Linked DNA regions of Mus musculus. The protein of the gene in region 3 interacts with the protein of the main gene of each other region in a biochemical or structural test. Links are inferred from orthologs where the notes say so. Each region holds a gene or a part of one and is shown on either strand. Other genes may lie near its edges.

The links. The genes of interacting proteins can lie anywhere in the genome.
Region 1: the proteins of H3f4 (region 3) and Cbx5 interact in a test that uses a peptide from one of them, tested with the Homo sapiens proteins (5 studies listed by BioGRID, with this or other methods). The link is inferred for Mus musculus from reciprocal best matches to the Homo sapiens genes H3-4 and CBX5.
Region 2: of the proteins of H3f4 (region 3) and Setd7, one has a biochemical effect on the other in vitro, tested with the Homo sapiens proteins (2 studies listed by BioGRID). The link is inferred for Mus musculus from reciprocal best matches to the Homo sapiens genes H3-4 and SETD7.

The regions. Positions count from the first base shown.
Region 1 is NC_000081.6:103,236,959-103,241,749, forward strand, and holds the start of Cbx5 (chromobox protein homolog 5), read right to left. Parts: upstream 2,895-4,791; 5' UTR 2,775-2,894; intron 1-2,774. Other genes in the region: Hnrnpa1 (heterogeneous nuclear ribonucleoprotein A1), read left to right, coding at 3,556-3,570, 4,122-4,238, 4,488-4,634. UniProt on the Homo sapiens protein: Component of heterochromatin that recognizes and binds histone H3 tails methylated at 'Lys-9' (H3K9me), leading to epigenetic repression. In contrast, it is excluded from chromatin when 'Tyr-41' of histone H3 is phosphorylated (H3Y41ph).
Region 2 is NC_000069.6:51,557,930-51,562,717, reverse strand, and holds the start of Setd7 (histone-lysine N-methyltransferase SETD7), read left to right. Parts: upstream 1-1,894; 5' UTR 1,895-2,160; coding exon 2,161-2,200; intron 2,201-2,509; exon of another isoform or gene 2,510-2,733; intron 2,734-4,788. UniProt on the Homo sapiens protein: Histone methyltransferase that specifically monomethylates 'Lys-4' of histone H3. H3 'Lys-4' methylation represents a specific tag for epigenetic transcriptional activation.
Region 3 is NC_000077.6:58,960,276-58,963,128, reverse strand, and holds H3f4 (predicted gene 12260), read right to left. Parts: upstream 1,419-2,853; 5' UTR 1,318-1,418; coding exon 907-1,317; 3' UTR 856-906; downstream 1-855. UniProt on the Homo sapiens protein: Core component of nucleosome. Nucleosomes wrap and compact DNA into chromatin, limiting DNA accessibility to the cellular machineries which require DNA as a template.

The DNA.
Region 1 (4,791 bases), on a different chromosome or scaffold from region 3:
ACACTGAAGATGTAATCAGTCCTATTCATTTATAAGACAGAGTAGGCCCTGCTGACCTGAAACTCACAAAGCATACAGGTTGGCCATAATCCTATGTTCACTCTCTAAGAAATGGTAAAATTTCCCTTTTTAACCTCAAGACCCAGAAACTAATCTATACCAGAGGAAAAACAGGATTAATGGTCCATTTATTAAAGAGTACTCCAAGACAAGGTGGTGGTGGTTGTGGTGGTGGGCGGTCATTTCCTCCATGCTTTGCTAACTGCTAAATGTCTGAAAATGATAAATTCTAGCATTAGCCCTTTTAGAGGAAGACTTTATTATTCATTTTTACATTTTTGGTATTGTTTTAAAACTGAAACACTGGGGGGGAAGTATGGGGGACTTTCAGAATAGCATTTGAAATGTAAATGAAGAAAATACCTAATAAAAATTTGAAAAAAAAAAAACAAAACTGAAACACTGAAAGGAAAGGAAGAAAGCAGAGACTGAGCAAGTGTGGCTCACGCCTTTAATCCCGGCACTCTCGAGAACAAGCGGCTCGCGGATCTCTGAGTTCAAGACTAGCATGGTCTACAGAATGAGGGCTACACAGAGAAACCATGTCTGGAAGGAAAAAAAAATATTCTGAACCATATCTAGGTAGATGCCGTGAGTCCACTATCACTTTAGAGCTCAGTACTGAAGTTGCACTGTTAGTGTAAATAAGCAGCTAATGGTTGTATAATATGTTTGTCCTTTTTAAAGTGCCAGTGACTATGGAAATCTCTATTCATTAGAAACATCACTAAAACCTGTCAAGCGCCAGGCGGTGGTGGTACACGCCTTTAGTCCCAGCACTTGGGAGGCAGAGGCAGGTGGATTTCTGAGTTCGAGGCCAGCCTGGTCTACAAAGTGAGTTCCAGGACAGCCAGAGCTATACTTAGAAACCCTGTCTCGAAAAACCCAAAAAAAAAAAAAAAAAACAACAACAACAAAAAAAAAAACCTGTCAAGCATGATAGCACCAACAGGTAGATCTCTTCATGTGAGGCCAGCCTGAGACATAAAACAGAAAACTAAATTGAAATCATCAGTCCGTCCGTCCCCCCCCCCCCACCCCCCGAGACAGGGTTTCTCTGTGTAGCCCTGGCTGTCCTGGAACTCACTTTGTAGACCAGGCTGGCCTCAAACTCAGAAATCCGCCTGCCTCTGCCTCCCGAGTGCTGGGATCAAAGACGTGCACCACCACCACCCGGCATCATCAGTCTTTTGTAAAAAGTATGAAACTATCTTCTTTTCTTTCTTTTCTTCGTTTTTGAGACAGGGTCTGATTATGCTTTGGCTGTCAAGTAACTCACTACATGGACCAGGAGGCTGGCCTCAAACAGATATCCATCTTCCTGCTAGGATTAAAGGCAATGACCACTAACGCCAGGCTGGAATTTTCTTATCACAATGAGGTACCTCTACCTCAAAGACTATAAATAAATCAACAGACACAGATAATAAATGGAAATTATACATTTGTCTAGATACTCTGAGAAGTGTGGGTATTATCAACACCAACAAAATTGCAGAGAAAATACAAAAATATATGGAATCAAAACAATGAATAACAACTCAAGATATGGTGGAGTCTTCTGTCCCCAACACCCTAAATACCTCCTAAATGAATCAGCTTTTTCACCCCACACCAGACATCCTCAAATGAACAGCAGAAATAGGAGCTTAGAGTATCTTGAATGTTAGGGGAGAAAAATGTTCTTCGGAGAAGAGATTCAGATAAAAGAATTGGGAACATGAATGGTGGTGACAAGTACATGATGACACAAAACAAACAAACAAAAAACCAAATGTGTCTATTTTTATTAAGGTTTTCATTATTTCATCAATGACAATTATCCCTCAAACATACAGGCCTTGGCCCCACTGTTTCCATAGAAGCAACACGTTTTGACTTTTGACATGTAACTCTCAAAAACTTTCATAGAGATAGAAATACAAATACAGTGTCCCTGGAAATGGGTGCTAGTGGTTAAGTCTATTTTTCTTGGATGCTTTTCATTGCAAGTACTTTACCTAAGTCATCTCATTCAAAATTTCAATATTCTTCTCTTAAAAGTTTTCAAAGACTAAAGGCACGTTCTCCAAAGTCTCAAGTGAAGGGAGGAACGTACCAAAAACTACAAGAAAAATGATTAACTCAAGGGCCACAAGAAAACATATGTTTTCCCTAAGGTAATATACAGAATGAATGCCTTAGTTATAGGAGTCATTTTAAGTTAAAATACTCGCCCCCACAAATGCAAGAGTAAGCTTTATTGGGGGGGGGAGGGGGGAATCCTGTCTTTCTAGTGACTCCTGGCTTGCTCTAAGAATTTAACCAGCCAACTCCCGCGCTCCCCACAGGAGTCCAGCCTCTGCCTCTTGGGGAAGGCCGGCCAATCGCGCGCTTGGGGCTCATTGGCTCGGAGAGACGCAACTCAGGCGAGAAAAACCCGCCTCCCACATTCCGATGGCCCAAGGACCGATCGGTAGGCAGCTATAGGAAAACCCAATTGGCCTATAGGCTCGCCAGTCAAATGCTTCGGCAAGGCAGCTTCACAGAACCTGCAAGGATAAAACATCCCGCCCCAGTTGTCCTATTGGCTGGCCCGACCCGTCGCGGCCCCTTCACTGTCGTCGTCCACCCCCCCCCCCACCAGTTCAGCGGTCCATTCATTTCGTACAATAACCGGTGCAATGGGAGCGGGTTCAAGATCTCGTACGGGTAGACGAGACTCTGCCACTTACCCAAGATCTAAAGTGATCACTCACGCTAAGGCCTGCACGGTTCCTCTGTGGTAAAGCGGCACCACAAGCCACCGCTACCGCCGCCTTCTGCGCAATGCCAACCGCCCGCCAAAACGGATCCTTCCCTGCGCCTGCGCAACCAATCCTGGGCTTGGACCTTTTCTCCGCCCAAAACGCCTGCGCAAAACTGGACGCTGGTCCCGCCACTACGCAGGCGCCTAGGTTCACAACCCTCTCCCGCCCGCCATTTCACGTGTTCCAGGCAGCAGGCGGAACATCGTAGTGCGCCGGCGTGAACTCGCCATTTTTATTACACATGCGCCTTATAGGGAGTGGCTGGGAAAAGTCGCGGTGAGCTACTTTGTAGCGTGCGGTCCTTTGACGAGTGAGTTTGTAATGTTCGGGTGTGGGAAAGTTATGAAAGGCATTTAAAAGACGTGAATACATTCAAATATAAGTGACTGGCTAGTTAGCCAATCAATGCGATTAAGGATAAGATCCCTTGGGGCATCAGTGACTCAAAGGGGCGGAGTCTGAATAGAACGCCCAAACGGATGCCGTTTCTTAGCAGGGCGTCTTCACGGGCCAATGGTGGGAGGGAATAATTTCAAATCTCCAATAAGACTCAAGTAAGGGCGGAGTCTACCAATACCGAGAGCGAGGAGGCGGGATAAAAGGGCGAGCAGAAGGTAGGCTGGCGGGCACGTTCGTTATCGTATTCCTTTCTGCTCTTTGACGCTGCCGAGGAAGCATCGCTGAAGGCTCTCGTAACTCTACCGTCATGTCTAAGTCCGAGGTAAGTTGGATGCGCTTTGCAGCTTCTCTTTCTTCCACACTTACTGAATATAGCGGGATGTGACGTGTTTTGCTGCTCGCACCCGTGGTTTCGGTGTTTTATCGATTAGTGCTGAGGCCTACTTTAAAAAAATGCAGGTCGCCATTTTGTCCTCATAGTCACCATGAGGCTGCGATCCGACCGCCATTAACGTCCATGCACTGTTCCTTGTGGCAAACTTCACAGACTAATGATCTGGGGAGTGTGGCCTTTTCTTCCCCTCCCCCATTCTGGTCTAACAATCGCTTGTTAAAGAGATATTAAGTCTTAATGGGGATGGACCCGACTAACCTGTGCCCTTTGTTGCGCGTGCGTATGAAGTAAAAGTAAGGACGCATGCGCTGCGTGCAACTCGAGTGAATCCCCAGCAGCACCTCCTAGCCTAGGAAGGAGCACGTGGTCTCGTGCAGTAATAAAGAACAATAAAAAAGTGTAGCATGTGTTGTTGCGGGGTGTTGATTCATTTTCCCAGGTTCCAGCCCCTCCGCTAAACACTCCCTCCTCCACTTTAGTCTCCCAAGGAGCCAGAACAGCTGCGGAAGCTCTTCATCGGAGGGCTGAGCTTCGAAACAACCGACGAGAGTCTGAGGAGCCATTTTGAGCAATGGGGAACACTAACAGACTGTGTGGTAAGATTAAAAGAAACAAAAGGAAGAGCTGGCTTATTTCTTCCGATTTAATCTGCTGCTTCTTAGCTAAATTGTTTTGTGAAGTTAACTAATGGGATGGTAAAAAAAAATCTGGGGCTTTCTTCAGATCTGTAAGAAGCTTACATTTCCACCCCCCCACTCTGAAGTTTCATGTTTGCCTTGATCAGACTAGGAATGGCTTTTGATTCTGAGATCAGGCAGTGTATTGATTGAATTAACTCTAAACAGGTAATGAGAGATCCAAACACCAAGAGATCCAGGGGCTTTGGGTTTGTCACATATGCCACTGTGGAAGAAGTGGATGCTGCCATGAATGCAAGACCACACAAGGTGGATGGAAGAGTTGTGGAACCTAAGAGAGCTGTCTCAAGAGAAGTGAGTGGTTTTTCTCTTTAACCTGAGACTATGATTGGGGCAGTCCTCAATTGGGAGATCCCCCCCAAGTGGTATTAAAGGCGAGGGCCTGGAGGTGGTGGCACACGCCTTTAATCCCAGCACTCCGGAGGCAGAGGCAGGTATATTTCTGAGTTCG
Region 2 (4,788 bases), on a different chromosome or scaffold from region 3:
GTAGCCTAGGCTAAAGGGTCAAAGAGTAAACCAGCCTAAACCACAGAAGTCCCTCCCCATATGGCCTGAGTATCTAATGCCCAGAAGAGGAACCCATACTGCCAGAGTGGCCACCCTGGTGCACTTTGCAGGTGAAGGAGACTGGACCCTAAGCCTTCTAACTCCACATCCACAACCTTCCTCTTTCGAACGCAGTCAGAATGGAGCTAACATTTCTGATGGTATTTGGGGTTAGTGTCTCCATAATTTTTCTCTTAAGTGGTTTTCCCTTTGAGACAGTATTTCTCTATGTAGCCCTGGCTGACCAGGAACTCACTCTATACACCAAACAGGCTGGCCTTGAACTCGGAGATCTACCTGCCTCTGCCTCCCTAGTGCAGCGATTAATACCACCATGCCCTGTTTCTTTTACTTTTTTTTTTTTTCTGGCTGACATATATCAGCCAGTGGGGGTGCAGCTCATTTGGTGGAGAGCTTGCTTTTCTAGCATGGAAAAGTCTGGATTGTATCTCCAGTACTATAAATTCAGCATGCTGCCAAGGTTTGTAATTACGGGGCTGTGAAGATAGAGGCGGGATGATTAGCTCAAAATCGTCTTCCTGTATACAGTGAGTTAGAGGTGAGAGACCGGGCTACAGGAGATCCTGCCTTAAATAAAAAAGAAAAAGAAAATGAAAAAAAAAAGGCATTTAAGAAATTAAGGAGGGGGGGGACTCTCTCAGGCTTTGGAAGTGACTTGAAATCCTGCCTCATTTATTGTTCAGAAAACGAAAAGGAACAACTTTCTTTGGTTCCTGCCCCATCCTTCCCACCCGCCACGATGACTGTTCTTGGCAGAAGGCCAGACCAGCACCGGGTAATTCCACAGTACATTGGGTACATGCGCATGCATTTAACCCGCTATTTAAAGAGATCCTTTGCTGCCACCTGTAAGAGGACATAATGACACTCTTTAAGTGGCTGGGCTGGGAAGGGAGTTTTCTTCCCTCAAAGATGCCTGAGTCTGTGAAGTGGTTGGCACTTGGAGAAACTAAAGAAACATCTAGGGACATCACAAATACAGGACCGGAGGCGAGAGAAGGAGGAGCGCTAGACACAGGGTCCTGGCTCCGGCTCTCCGCTTGGTGGCTCCATCTTCAAGACAAGGAGAAGGAATCGGCCAAAGCTCGGGTGCGGCCTGATTACCAGCCTGCTGCCATTTGGGTTTGCTGAATTCCTGGATCTCTCTAGGGGCCTGGAGATGCGAAAGAAGATGGAGACTGGGGACTCCTGGGTAGGACGTTCAGTCGGGAGGAATCCAGGACGCAGGACGCCCCCTGGAGTCGAGGGAACTGGCTTGTGGAGGCAGCGCTGGGCAGTGGAAGGGGGACGGGGCACCTGCGCTCCTGGGCCCGCCGCACTTTGCAACTCTGGGCAGTAGCGAGCCGAGTGAAGTGGGGCTCGAGGGCAAGAGGAAGTAGAAGCTCAGGAACCAAAGGCTTCCTTAGTTCCGAGTGCGCTCCAGCTGTCCAGGAGTGAGATAGTGGTAGGAACACCCAGCATGACGCACTTCCAAGTCCCTGGTGGCACATCGTGGGGTATCAGGTGCTCTGAGCCCCTCACCCACCCCAGGCGGGTACCCTCGAGGCCCCCGGCGCTAGCGAACAGCCGGCGGCGACCTGGACCGCGTGGCTGGCGAACAGTGAACCAAGCCAAAAGGTAAACGCCGCCTGGTCTGCCCACTGCCTGGTCTTAAGAGGCGGCGCAGCTCCGGAGCACCTTGGGTTCTAAGGATCCTCACTTCTGGGAAAGGACAGGGAACTGTCAATCAACGAGGGAGGGAGCGCACCGGCGCCGGGTGATGTCAGCGGATCAGCTGCTCCATAACAAAGAGGGGGTATCACAGGAGAAAGTTGCAGTGGCGGCAGCACCCCAGAGCCTCCGGGACCGGGGACGAGAGGAGAGGGGGCGGCGGCTGCGGCTGCCGCGGCTGGCGGAGGAATTGAAAGGACTGTAGGGGGAGGCAGCGCGAGCCGCCCCGACTGCTCCTCCTCTTCCTCCCCCTCCTCCCCCTCCTCCAAACTCGCAGGGCTTAGCTCCAGCGCTCGCTCAGCCACCAGGAGCACCCAGAGGGACGGGAGCCGGCCGCACGGCCCCGGGCTGGGTAGGGTCTCAGCCGCCATGGATAGCGACGATGAGGTGGTGGAGGAAGCCGTGGAAGGTACAAGCTTTTCTCCAGGACTCTGGGGTGGGGACAGGCGCCTGGGGCGGAAAGCGCCAAAAGAGTGGCGGTCTGCGACGCGCGCCGGGCCGAGCCGAAGGCCGCCGCGGTCCCTAAGCGGATGGCGGGTCGCTCGGCTCAGGCGGGGGCTGCACTGCCTACGCCACGCCGCCGGGAGCGTGCGGGGCGCGGCGGGGCAGGGGCGGGGAATGGGGCCCCGCGGGGTCCGCCGCCCTGGGAAAGCTGGGCCCCTGCATCCCGCCTGGCCTCGGCAGCATCCTCCCTGGGAGTTGCGACGCTGCCTAGCACCTTGGCCTTAGTCCTTGCGGGGATGGAGGATGGGAGGGCAGTCCCTTGAGGCCCGCGATCTCCGCGGGGCAGCGTTGTTTCAGCCACCTCGACTTCCCCTCTCCGACCGCCTGCCCTTTTCCTGACTGAGTCGCTGCGTCCCATGGCCACCAGGGCCGGGTCTAGGTGGGTCTCCCATCGCAACGCACCCGGCCGCACACCAGGCACATGGCGGCCCTGGCCGCTCCTCCGGGGTAAAAAAAAAAAAAAAAAAAAAAAAAAAAAAAAAGATGAAATCATGGCTAGGTAGAGCACGCCGCTCCCCACCAGGCTACCCTGCCCCTGGGCGAACTCAGCCACCCGCCCTTCCCCCTCCCGGCTTCCCAGCGAGGTGCAGGCGCGCCGTGCGGACGCTCCAGCCGGGACCCAAATTGCTGGGTGACACTTAACTTTCTGAATTCCGAGCTGTCGGCTGCCGGTGATATCACCGCCTGGGTGTCAGGTTTCTCCGCCCCCTCTTGCGCACCCCTCCCCCGACTCCCGTCGCCACCGTGTTTTGCTGAGTTTCTCCGCCTCTTTTTTTTTTTTTTTTTTCTTTTTTGCCCCCCTACTTATAAAACGTCCGTGGCGACGTTATACAATCTCGTTGTTTGTGGCTTGAGAGGTTATGATTTTGTAACAACGAACACTGGAAAACACTCTTAAGCGTATTTATTATTTATCTTATTCTATCCCAGATAGTGTTCCCGTGATGTTTTTGCAAGATTGCGTAGTGTTGTTCCAGAATTTGTTAAACACAGCAACTGACTAATTTTAAGTCGGTGGTTGAATCTGGTTTTGATCTCATTTGTATAAACAGGTCTGACAAACGATAAAGAAAAAGTGGCTGTGCTTAACAAATGCATATGGATATGTACTTGTTAGTGCTACGTGGGGAGAAATCTCTTTGGTGTGTCCATAAATACAACTTTTGCAGACTGCTGAAGGCTTAGGGTGAGATGAAGCAGAATAATTTTTTGAATTTCCGGAAAGGCATCCATTCTAATTTACTTTGTAAAATGTATTTCTTCATTTTAGTTTTTGTTTTGTTTGTTTGTTTTTTTTTTAACAACTTTTAAGTACATAGTTTTGCTTGTAACTTTTGGAGAGACTAAAATGCGGATCCACAGAGCTTACATTTCTCTAAATAAACCCAGTGTTGGGATTAATGAGGCCCAGCTAGCATTGTTTGAGCCAATCATAGGAAGCCTTCTTTAACTTCCAAAGTTATTGACTTCTTGTAAATTTCTGCTATGACAGAAAAAGTGTTCTTAACAAAGTGCCACTGTCGCTCTCATTCTTCCTGGGGTTTTTTTGCCCTAAACAGTATTTTTTAGGTTTGTTTGTGTTGTTGTTGATGATGGTGATTTTTTTATTCTTTAATGTCATGCGCAGTGGTGTTTCTGTTTGCATGTATGTCAGCGTGAGGATGTCATATTCCCTGGAACTGATGTTACAGACAGTTGTGAGCTTCCATGTGGGTACTGGGAATTCTTCCCAGGTTTTATGGAAGAGCAGCCGGGGCTCTTAACCACTCAGCCATCTCTCCAGCCCCTCCTCCTGTTCTTTTACTTGCAATTTTTAAAAACAAACCCTTAAGCACAGATAGTGCCCCCAGCCCAAGCCACCTTCTCCAGGGCTGATGTTTAGAAAATGTGCTCTGTTGTTTATGATCCTAGCACTGGCATGTGAACAAAAACCAGGCCCGTGGCATACACACCTGCAGGTGGAGGCGGAGGCAGGAGCATCAGGAGGTCAAGGTCACCCTCGGCTGCATAGCAAGTCCAAACCCAGCCTGAACTATAAGACCCTGTCTCAAAATGATAAGAAATGTTTAAAGTATATTTTCAGGTTTCATGTTAGTCCAGTAGATTCAAAACACTGCAGTTTCTTTACCTTAACTGTAGGGGTGGTGAGGGGGGGGGCTTTTATATAGGATGGACAGATATAGCACTACTATAAATCAGCTCATTAGAGCAAGAAAGGCACCATTAATAATTATGCTATGACAGCTGGCTTAAACGCTGGCTTGTCTTGGGCAGTCACTCAGTTTTACCTAAGAGTAAACAAGTAGAGGAACTTCCTTGTTTTGCTTTTTTGCAGATTTTTGTTTTTGTGGATCTGTGAAACACGATCTCTGTGGCCCAGGCTGGCTTTGATATGATGTGCTGCCATTACAGATGTGATATCTATTCCTGGATTTTTAAAAGAACAACAACAAGACTCACTCTCTCTCTCTCTCTCTCTCTCTCTCTCTCTCT
Region 3 (2,853 bases):
TTTCTGTGTTAACCTCACAGGCTTATTCAGGCTATTCCCCTCAGCCCTCCACTAATGCAGTTCAGTTAACCATCTCGGGTTCCTCCCAGTTTGATTTCTGATCAAGCCGGTTAGTCTCCATGCCGGTCATCTCTGAACACCACCCTTTTTGTATGGCTCAGAAGTCATACAGTACTGGACAGTATGAAAAACCAAGGCTCAGAGAATTAAACTCCAGCGCAAAACATCCTTTTGATAAGAGAGGTTCCTATTGCTTACAACTCAGGTTGAGTCAAGACAACAGCTAGACTTTCGTACCCTACAGGAATCGTTTAAGACAGGATTCTCTGGATGTGTCCCCTGGAAATATGTAAGTTAACACTTTCCTGACTCTTTTGCTGCCGCCGTTAACAGATGGGCAAAATTAACTTTAATCAAAGGCAGTTCACTGGGCTTTCCATCAGGAGAAAGGCCAACTTTTCAAGTACAGGAATAGCTAGCCTTTTTAATACCAGGCATTATGAGCCTTAAAACACAAAACATAAGTAACTTGGTTACTGAGCAGATGCGTTTGGATACTATCAACTATGCAAACATAGCACGTTTACTGCCGGTAGGAGCTACCTTCACTTGGTAAAACCAGTCAGCAACACAACCATCATCTTGTAGTACAAGGGCTCAGGCCACTATACCTATCAAGGGAAGGCAGGTTAGAATAGGACGGAGCTGCAAGTCAAATAGCTCAATGGGCAAGGATTAGCTGCTAAGCCCTCTAGACTGATCTGGGGAGACACTTCGATTGCCGGCCACCTTGTCTTCACCTCCTGAGGAGACAGGACACCTAAGTCTACGTTACAGACACTTTTTCTGACTCTGTGGGTGGCTCTGAAAAGAGCCGTTGGGTTCATGAGCGGTGCCTGTGGGAGCCTAAGCCCGTTCTCCGCGGATGCGCCGAGCCAACTGGATGTCTTTGGGCATGATGGTCACCCGCTTGGCGTGGATAGCGCACAGGTTCGTGTCTTCGAACAGCCCCACGAGGTACGACTCGCAGGCCTCCTGCAGCGCCATCACCGCGGAGCTCTGGAAGCGCAGGTCGGTCTTGAAGTCCTGGGCGATCTCACGCACCAAGCGCTGGAATGGCAACTTGCGAATCAGCAGCTCGGTGGACTTCTGGTAGCGCCGGATCTCGCGCAGCGCCACCGTGCCAGGGTGGTAGCGGTGCGGCTTCTTCACGCCCCCGGTGGCCGGGGCGCTCTTGCGGGCCACCTTCGTGGCTAGCTGCTTGCGCGGAGCCTTGCCTCCCGTCGACTTCCGTGCCGTCTGCTTGGTGCGTGCCATCTTCCTGAATCGTCCGCCTCCCTTGCTCCTCAGGTGCACAATGTGGGGGGCGAGTAGCACTGCTTTTATAGACCCAGCTACATTCCTATTGGCTGCCCACCAGGTGGCATTATGGGATGCTGCACTCTGATTGGTCCATTGGGGGATTGACTTTACACCCTGCCTCTTATATTCTCTCTGAGTGGTGTGGACTCTGGAACTGTTAGTTGCGGCTCGGTAGGAGGGCAGCGGGGTCTGTGGAAAAAACTCAAGTCGCTTTCTTGGAGCTTTTATTGTTGTTGTTAAATAAAAAAACAAAACAATCTTGCCTCGACTCCCAAGACACAAAGAACCTTCTAGAACCTTTCTGCATGCTTCCTTTATATAACAACGAGGCATAGTTTTCCTGAGTTCTGGAATACTAAAAAAACATCCACCTGGTCTGAGGACGCCCCTGGGGGCGAGGGCTGGAGGTAGCTCAGCAGTTAAGCTTAATTCCAGGACTCGGGAGGCAAAGGATGGTGGATATCTGTGTGTTTGAGGTTAGCCAGGGCTACATAGTATTAACACTATTTTTTAAAAATAGGGAGGGGTAGAGATGGAAAAAAATAAAGAGAAAAACGAAAAGAAATTGTGTCGTTTGCTGGAACAATGGAAAGAACTCAAGATCACAGTGTTAAGTAAGCTGGATCCAGGCAGGAAGAAAAGCATGGCATGGGTTCTCTAGCATGTGGAAGCTAGATTAAAAAAAAAAAAAAAAAAAAAGCATAAAAATGGGGTCGGGGTGGTATTTATAGAGAGAAAGGGACCAGAGGGAAGAGGAAAAAAAGGGGAGAGCTGGTGTGTGTGTGTGTGTGTGTGTGTGTGTGTGTGTGTGTGTGTGTGTGAAGTTATCAAAATGAAACCCATTACTAAGCACAGTTAACGTACGTTAATTAAAAAAAAAAAAAAACTAGAAGATATGACTCAAAGAACAGTAGTCCATGCTTATAACTTCAGTACTCGGTAGCTGAATCAGAAGGATAATAATTTTGAGGCTTAGAGTACACTGAAATGACGCTTTATCAAACAAAATAAAACATCTTTAGATCTGAAAGAAAATTAGGAAAAAAAAAAAAAAAAGGATTTCTGAAGCAAAGGCTTTCAAGGATAACATGGGCTGTATTCAAGGATTCCCCCAAAGGTCACAATCAGGGTATCAAACAATAGTAATAATGATTATTTAGATCACGTCAGAGGATGAGAAATGTCGTCCACATAATTTCAAAAAACGTGAGTCCAGAAAAGGATAGAAATCAAACTGTGGTGCATCTTTACGGATTTGGTTAAAAAATAGAACTCACTGACAATCATGGTGTTTTGCTTCCAAACGTGTATGTGTAGTTTAAACTGACGCCGGTGAACGCCAAAGCGGGGAATCCCGAGCCCGTGCCTGCGGTGTGCGGTCGCGGGTAGGCGCTACGCCAACCGGAGGACGTGGGTCGTCCATTGGTGGTGCCCAGGAACCGGGACGTCCCGGCCCGCGCCACTCTCTAGTGCCAGCTTATGGATACAGTG